Oryza sativa Japonica Group: one gene and its partner. The protein of the gene in region 1 interacts with the protein of each later gene in a biochemical or structural test. Links are inferred from orthologs where the notes say so. Each region holds a gene or a part of one and is shown on either strand. Other genes may lie near its edges. The genes, in order: E3 ubiquitin-protein ligase KEG and bZIP transcription factor ABI5 homolog.

Region 1 (4,275 bases):
AGATGGGTTCCCAACCCATAGAACCGAACACAACCTTAGTAGTACGTTTTTTTTACATTTTTTTTCTCAAGTTTGAAAATACTATACCTGGCTTTACTCCTATACTTACAATAACTACGGTCCCCATCGGTTGGTCTAGTCTTATTATAAGCCATAACGGCTTATTAGAGCAGGTACAATAGCAGACTATAAGCTAGCTATAAACATATTTTAAAAATATAAAAGAAGAGAGATAAGGGAAGCGGGCTACAGATCTGTAGCCAGCTGCAACACGGACTCCAAGACGTAATATGTGTATGACAGGTGGGACTAAGTATTAATAGTGTAGTAAGCAGCTATTGTATGAATTGTCTATTACATTGGCTATAGAAGATTTGGAGCTAGTAGTTAGCTATACTATTAAGCTTGCTCTTAACGATTAAGAAATAATATGCGAGTAAAAGTTTTATATATTGTTCTTACCGATTGAAAAGCCAAAGTTGAAAAAAACTATGTTAAAATAGAATCAAAATCAAATTCAAAATCAAGTTTTAAAATTTAAATTTTGGCTTTAGCTTATAAGCCGTAGGGCAAAGGATGAGGCCATACATTGGAAAAAATAATTATCAAAACAACATCTTGCCTATTTGACCATTATACCTATCTAACCAACAAAGAGAATCATATCACTCCGTGGACCAAACGATCGGTAAAAAAAAAAGTTAGCATATCACTGAAACTACATATAGCGTGTACGGGCACGTTGCGGGGAAGCACATCTAGGACAAGCAAGCTCCAAACCGGTCTATCCGTCAGCTCAGCCCTTTCTTGATCGGTGTGGCAAGTTAGCTCGCCAAAAAAAAGAAAATAAAAAAGAGAACATAACAAAGTTGCTTTTAGTTATTCATTCACACTAACCAAGGACCTGTTCACTTTGATGCCAAAAAAAACCTTACTAAATTTTGACATTACCAAAATTTTAATATAGTTGCCAAAATTTTGGCAAGACAGGATTTCTTATATAGTTACCAAAATTTGACAGCAAATTAAATGTAGCCACTTTTTTGATAACTTTATTAAAATTTGGTAAGGTTGAAAATGACATCAAAGTGAACATGACTCAAGTACTAAATCCCAAACCAAAGAGGAGAACTTATTCCAACATCGCCCAAAATCCCCCCGAGAAGGCGAGAACACTCGACAAAACCGGAACAGAAAGTAGAAACGGCCAACACACCACCGCACACCCCTCCCCTCCCAAGAGCGAAGAGGAGAGAGCCTTGCTTGTCGTCCCTCCTAGGCTCCCACCGCATCATCATCATCATCATCATCATCATCATCACCAACCCCCCCATCAAAAAATCCCATTCCTCCTTCCCAAACCCCCCCCTCCCCTCCCCACCGCCGCTCCCCACCACCACCGCCCCCCCAGATCTACCCCTTCTCTCCTCCCCGACGCGCCGCGCCGCGCCCTAGCTAGGGCAGCGCCGCGCCGCGCCGCGATGCGGGTGCCGTGCTGCTCGCTGTGCCACGTGCGGTACGACGAGGAGGAGCGCGCGCCGCTGCTGCTCCACTGCGGCCATGGCTTCTGCCGCGCGTGCCTCGCCCGGATGCTCGCCAACGCCGCGGGCGCCGTGCTGGCGTGCCCGCGGTGCCGCCACCCCACCGCCGTCGGCAACTCCGTCTCCGCGCTGCGGAAGAACTTCCCCATCCTCTCGCTGCTGTCGTCGTCCCCGTCGTCGCCCTCGTTCCTCCACTCCGACTCCGGCGGCTCTTCCTCCGACGGCTCCGACGACGACGACGACGACTTCTTCGGCCGGCCCAGCCGCCGATCCTCCGCCGCGGGGGCGGGGGCGGGGGCGGCGGCGCCGTCGCTGCAGCCCGCGGGCTGCGCCTCGTTCGACCTCGCCTCGCATCCGGACCTCAAGCTCGCCCGCCGCATCGGGAGCGGGCCGCCGGGCCCCGCGGGGCAGGAGGTGTGGTCCGGCACGCTGTCTCGTGGTGGTGGGGGAGGTGGGGCCAAGAGGTGTAAGCATCCGGTGGCGGTGAAGAGGGTGCCCGTGACCGCGGGGGATGTGCTTGAGGGCGTTCAGGAGGAGGTGGAGCGGCTGAGGCGCGCCGCGACGTGGTGCCGGAATGTTACCACGTTCCATGGTGCTGTGAGGGTCGGCGGGCACCTCTGCTTCGTGATGGATCGGTACGCGGGGTCTGTGCAGACAGAAATGCGGCAGAATGGCGGTCGCCTAACGTTGGAGCAGATCCTCAGGTGTGGCATTGCATCTAAACATGGATACTAAGTTTTATTTGCGTGGTTATATTTGCTGCAGTCATGTATGGTTATAGTTGCTGCTATCAAACTATCGATCGCCGAAAATGATAACCCTAAAAATACAGTTGAGCTGGGGCGCTATACGACAGTTTGTCCGCTAACTGTATGTGTTCAAATGCATGGGGTTTCAATGGTGGTTCGCTAAGCTGCATGTCTAGCTAGAAGGATCATAAAAGGTGGAAAATGTTGTAGTTTGAGTACTGACGTGGAAAGCGGTTTTTGCGATTAGTAGTGCCAAATTTGATCTCAATGAGTTTGTAGTATTTGTACGTGTTCGGCAATGTTTGGGTGATTGTCGGCAGCTTTGTTATTCCATCTGTCCTGCATCTTTTGTTGTGTTGTGACATAGTGCTTAGGTCTATTATTAACAATTATCACACTTAGTGCTTGGAGGAATGAAAGATCACTCTTTGTACTACGATTAAAATTCAAGCCAGGCTGCTCAGGAAGTTCAGTGTCCAGTGAATAACATAGTTTTGTTTTGCAATTGGTTTGTTGATTTAACACACATCAATCATTCTACATGTGGAGCTTGAGTTCTCTTTAATTTGTGAACAAAATGATCACTTGTATGTGCTATGAATTTGTACTATACAATGTGCAATCGTTTATTCCCAAAATTATAATTCCTAGAATATTGTGAGGTTCGTGACGGCGACGAATGAAATGCCAACACTTTCTGGTTCATATCTGTAATATTTGGCACCCTGGACATTTCTCCATAAAAGATATAACTCATATGGCTGTTAGAATGGAGGGATTGGAGCAAAGATGGTTGTTCACTGCTGCATTAATTCTGTTCCTCTCAACTCAAACTTTAGTTTCCAAAGATCTGTTGAATACTTCTGTGCAGTGGAATAGTGTGGGCCACTCATTTGTGTTTACCTGATGTAGAGTTTCTTACTATAATAGCACACTCACTGTGTGCTGCAACGGATATCAAATAACTGTACCATTAGTCCATGGGTTAAAAAGAATAAGAAATGATTATCCTGTGATCTAAACAATTTGATACATGTTTTTACTCTTTTTGAAGAAGGGAGTTTGGTGCCACATAAGTTAATGGCCGAATCGGGCTAGTTAGCTTTACTAACAAGAAGCACTTTGTCTCAACACACTCTGGTAGCATTTGATGCGAATGCCAATACAAATGTGGGTCAAAGTTCATCAGCACATTGTCAAACTAACGATGCAAATTAATTTCTGAGCATCCTGTATTTCTGTTATAGTTTGGTGGAACTTTGTGAACTGTAGTTGTCTAATAGAATGTGATATACAATCACAAGTGTCCATGACTCATAACTCATAAAATTCTGAACTCAGATTTCTCTTTTGTCTGGTAGCTACATGGCGCGAATTGCTTCTGTACTAAGTGCATGAAATAGCCCATGCCATACATAGGGAAAAAATAACTTATTTTGTCAGCATGCCAATTTCTTTACTTATTTTTCCATTATAAGAATTGCCACCTCATTTTTCCTAGTATACTGTTGTTATTATTCTTGAGCACATCAAAAGGATTTAGTTTTTTCATCAGTCTAATTATGTTTGACCTTCCCTTTTGTTCAGTCTGATTATGTTTGACCTTCCCTTTTGTTTACTCAAGTCTTTATATCTTCTGATTATATTTTTCCCGAGCGTGAGTTTTGCAGATATGGAGCAGATATTGCTCGTGGAGTAGCAGAACTCCATGCAGCAGGTATTGTTTGTATGAGTATAAAGCCGTCAAATATCCTTTTGGATACAAATGGGCATGCAGTTGTTTCCGACTATGGTCTTTCGGCCATTCTTAAGAACCTCACTAGTCGTAGAGTGTCTGATGATTCCAACATGGTTGGCTTGGATGCTACACTTCTTAGCCCCAATTATACAGCTCCTGAGGCTTGGGTGCCATTGAAGAAGTCAATGAATCTGTTTTGGGATAGTGCAAATGGAATATTACCAGAGTCAGATGCATGGAGTTTTGG
Region 2 (3,982 bases), on another chromosome or scaffold:
TGGCTCACATATTAGCACTACTTAGAGAAAAAAATACAATAAACTTGATTAGAGATTGTGTCGATAGCAAACTCTTCGGACCACCAGTAATCACTACCTGCCGCTCCACGGACCGCCACCACCGCTCTTTCTCAATGAGACCACCACCGTCCCTCCGCTTCGTCTTTGCATGTCCAGCCACACCCTCTAGTTATCAATATATTTTTTTATTCTCCCGTCGTCATGCACGCTATTGTTATGGTGGTCATTGAGATTGAGAGTATTAGACTTGTAGAGACTTGGAGAGGTAGGAACCAACACGAACACGAGTGGAGACGCTAAGCCCGATGCTGGCAACCTCGTGCTTAGGGATGTAAGTAGGTAATCCCGCTACCTGCATAAAAACCTGCTTGCTAGTTTATTTTTTTTATAGTAGTACAAAATTTAAAAAAAAGATAGACTAGAAGTGGGATAAGCGGGAAAAAAACCCGCTTGCCTGTCCCGCTTGCATCCCTGCTCCTGCTCAAGCGACGGCAACACGGCGAGATTAACCGAGGATCGGGGAATTCCCACAAACTAGCAAACCGTGTAACCTCGCGTCAACTTTTCCATCGGATCATAGAAGCCGAACTTTTCGCCATCGCAAAGCCCAAATCATCATCAGCTTGTTTCGGTTTCCAGTTTATTCGGCCAGAAATTTGGGCCGTAATCGATACTACCAAGGTTTGCCTATACTGTAGCTTTTCTTTTTCCAGCGCATATGACATGAGAACAAACTTACAGATACAAACTAGTATACTATTGTATAATTTTATTCATCGTTGTTTTGTACAAACAGCGACATGTAACCATATAAGCAGCAAGGACCGGTGAACACGATGGCAAGACATGTGGGTCCAGGCAGGTTTACAAGCATCACAGCATATATGTATATCAACTACTACCATAATACCTTCACATCACTTAGTCTGAAAGAAGACTTAATGTGCAAATCCTCTTCAGAGCCTCAGAGGCTAGTGCCACACCAGAAGCAGGATGAGTGTGCCACTCGCCGGTCACCGCTATGCCCGTTTCACCACATGCAGCTGCCGCTGCGGCGCAGCTGGCTGCCACCCCTATTTGCATTCATCTTCTCCTTGGACTGCTCCATCATTTTCTCAACCAGCTGAAAAATCACAGGAACACGACATATTTCCATGAGCATATATACACACACAAATAAATGAATAACAAATATGTATTTAATAATTTCACAAAACGATGAGCACTATGCGGAATGGGGATTGCCACATGGGAGAGGACAATACCATTTGCTTCTTTGTCAGTAGAACCGTCTTCTGTAAAAGGAAGATAATATAGACATTGTATATTTATCAGTTCAATGTTACAGAAAAGGAAGGAACGAGACTGTTTAGGAATGACAATGAAAGCTGAGTGGATAATGTTTCTTGCTTTAATACCTCTGCCTCTTTGAGACGAGCGTTCTCCTGCTTGAGATAGTTCAGTTCAGCTTCGAGCTCCACCGTATAAGCCTGTAGCATTATTCATAAAAATTTCAATCTCCATGCAAAATGTCTTAACGATACATAGAAACTAAAAGGTTCGGAGCAACATGTGTACCTGCTTTCTAGCACGGGACCGTGCAGCTGACTCACGGTTCTTGATCATGCGCCGTTGGCGGCGCTCCACCGTCTTCTCGGCGCAGCCATCCTCTCTGTGGGGACGCTTTCTTGTTCCATTCTCAATCATCATCCCATTCCCAATACAATTCATCATATCAGCATGTGTCATGGCACTCATCCCATCTGATGATCCAGGACTCACGACAACCATGGCACCTTGGGCGGGAGGTGGCGGTGGCACAATCGCCATCCCGTTGTACCCACCGGGGTACCCCATGCCATCACCCATCACCGGATACATGGCGTTTACCGGTCCTACTGGGAACATCATAGGACCGCCTTGGCCCTGCTGCATGGGGTTCACCGGCCCGTTGACCATGCCAGATCCCATGGCCGCTTGCCCGGTAAAGGACCCTCGGACCACCCCGGCCTTTACCAAGAAATCCTCAAGTGTCATCTCACCTAGTGTTACCTGTCGGTCGTTAGCTGCAACACCACCGCTCCCGGCATGTGGCTGGAGCGCGGAGGCCGGAGCGGAGGTGTGTGCAGGGGCTTGGTTGATCTCAGTCCACACCTCCTCCACCGTCTTCTGGCACAGCGGTAGCGGCAAGGAAAATGATCCCTGCCGACATAAACCGCTTCCTCCTGCATCACCGCTTCCGCTTCCACTGTCTACCACCTTGGCTTCCTCCATGGCACCCTTGCAACCTCCGGTGGTAGCCTGGAATTCTTCAGCATTCCATATGTTAGCCACAAACTCGTCCATGTTCATGGAACCAAAGTTGCGTCCTGGCTCACACAAGGAGTTTTGTAGCTCTTCCAAGGTGAGGGAGAGGATTGACGACTGCCGCGCCAGTGGAGCAATTTCCTCCTCCCCACCTACTTTTGTACCACCACTTTGGTCACGCTCCTGTGATGTAACCTCTTGATCATCGGTGACCTTCACGTTCTTGCTCATCTCCGATGCCATCTCACTATAACACTCAATTTGTAAAGTTCTATTAAATTTTCTAGGTGTGTCCCTTCAGCTATGGATGCCACCCCTTTTTATAGCCTGTGATGCAAAAACGAAGTTGGCTGTTAGAACATAGAAGAGGGTTGAAAGGTGTAACATGACTGCATCCAAAAAACTTAAGGTAGGTGTGTTGTTTGTCATATGTACTTTATTAAAAGAGTGTGCAACTGATGATGTGCTTGGCTTGAAGTTCTAGGCGATTACGTATGGATGGTAGATAACCAGATAAGCACTCCCAAGTTTGGAAGTTGGCTTATGCCTTATTTTCTTGATGAATCTTTCATACTGCTTTATTTTAACATAGATGATATGGAAAAAATGTGTTGCTCACATGAATGCTACATATATGGATGCCTTGAATGCATAGAGAACGTTACTGGCATAATTTGCGTAGGGCGAAATTACTCTCACCATAATTCACACGGTGTTGAAGGTTTTCAGGCATAGCATCATTCGGATGGAGGTATACCTTGGACTCACCCTCTTTTTTTCTGGACTTCAAGACACTGATGAGGTACTAATATAAATATAATTACACTATCATTTAACGTTTGCTGGCCATTTGACTAGACATCTGAAATAGCTGAAGTGGGTATTAGTTTAAAGTGCTTGCTTCATACAAAGTGTATTGGGTTCAAATACTTGGTCAAGTGCATTGAATTGTTGGTCTTGTTTGGTATTGCTAAACTGTCGCAAGTATACTCCCTCCAGTCATGAAAATGTATCATTTTTTAAAATTGGCACAATTTACAAAAATCAACTTTGACTACTTATTTTCTTTGTATAATTGAAAAATCTAGTACATATAATAATATGATTTTCTTGTGACCAACCGAAATAGTACTGAGATGTCGCATTATATTTTTCTAAAGATTAACGATGTACATCCAAAAGTCACACTATGGGACTATAGGTATATGACACAACTAGAGATAGGTTTGCCAGGTAATTCATAAAAAAATATATGCATACATTTTGCTAGCTTGAAAGTTGGATATTGACAATATTGCTGGTCTTTCAAACAATATTTATAACAGAAGTAATTAACAATCATCATTGTAGAAAAAAAATGATATTTTTATATTTTGTTGTACGGAGTGGCATAACACCAGAGCACTACTTTTAAAGATGAAGATAGAGATTTCGTCATCTTTGGCTGCAAGGACGAAGTTTTGGTTGAACCAAGCCATAGGAGATGACGGGCGGCACCAGCACATGCGTGACTAGAGCAGTCTCATGGAGGGTGGATGCTGCTACACCAGAAGCGTCACCATGTTCGCAGATTGTGGTCAGTGGCGAAGCTAGAGCAAAACAGAGGGTGGTGCACCACTATAGTAGCAATATACTACCATGTTCGAAAATGATA

Evidence for each region.
Region 2: the proteins of E3 ubiquitin-protein ligase KEG (region 1) and bZIP transcription factor ABI5 homolog form a complex in vitro, tested with the Arabidopsis thaliana proteins (2 studies listed by BioGRID, with this or other methods). The link is inferred for Oryza sativa Japonica Group from reciprocal best matches to the Arabidopsis thaliana genes KEG and ABI5.

The regions. Positions count from the first base shown.
Region 1 is NC_089039.1:19,166,360-19,170,634, reverse strand, and holds the start of E3 ubiquitin-protein ligase KEG, read left to right. Parts: upstream 1-1,209; 5' UTR 1,210-1,481; coding exon 1,482-2,245; intron 2,246-3,960; coding exon 3,961-4,275. UniProt on the Arabidopsis thaliana protein: Mediates E2-dependent protein ubiquitination. Acts as a negative regulator of abscisic acid signaling. Required for ABI5 degradation, by mediating its ubiquitination.
Region 2 is NC_089035.1:37,800,149-37,804,130, reverse strand, and holds bZIP transcription factor ABI5 homolog, read right to left. Parts: upstream 2,620-3,982; 5' UTR 2,572-2,619; coding exon 1,600-2,571; intron 1,512-1,599; coding exon 1,440-1,511; intron 1,317-1,439; coding exon 1,287-1,316; intron 1,145-1,286; coding exon 1,052-1,144; 3' UTR 757-1,051; downstream 1-756. UniProt on the Arabidopsis thaliana protein: Participates in ABA-regulated gene expression during seed development and subsequent vegetative stage by acting as the major mediator of ABA repression of growth.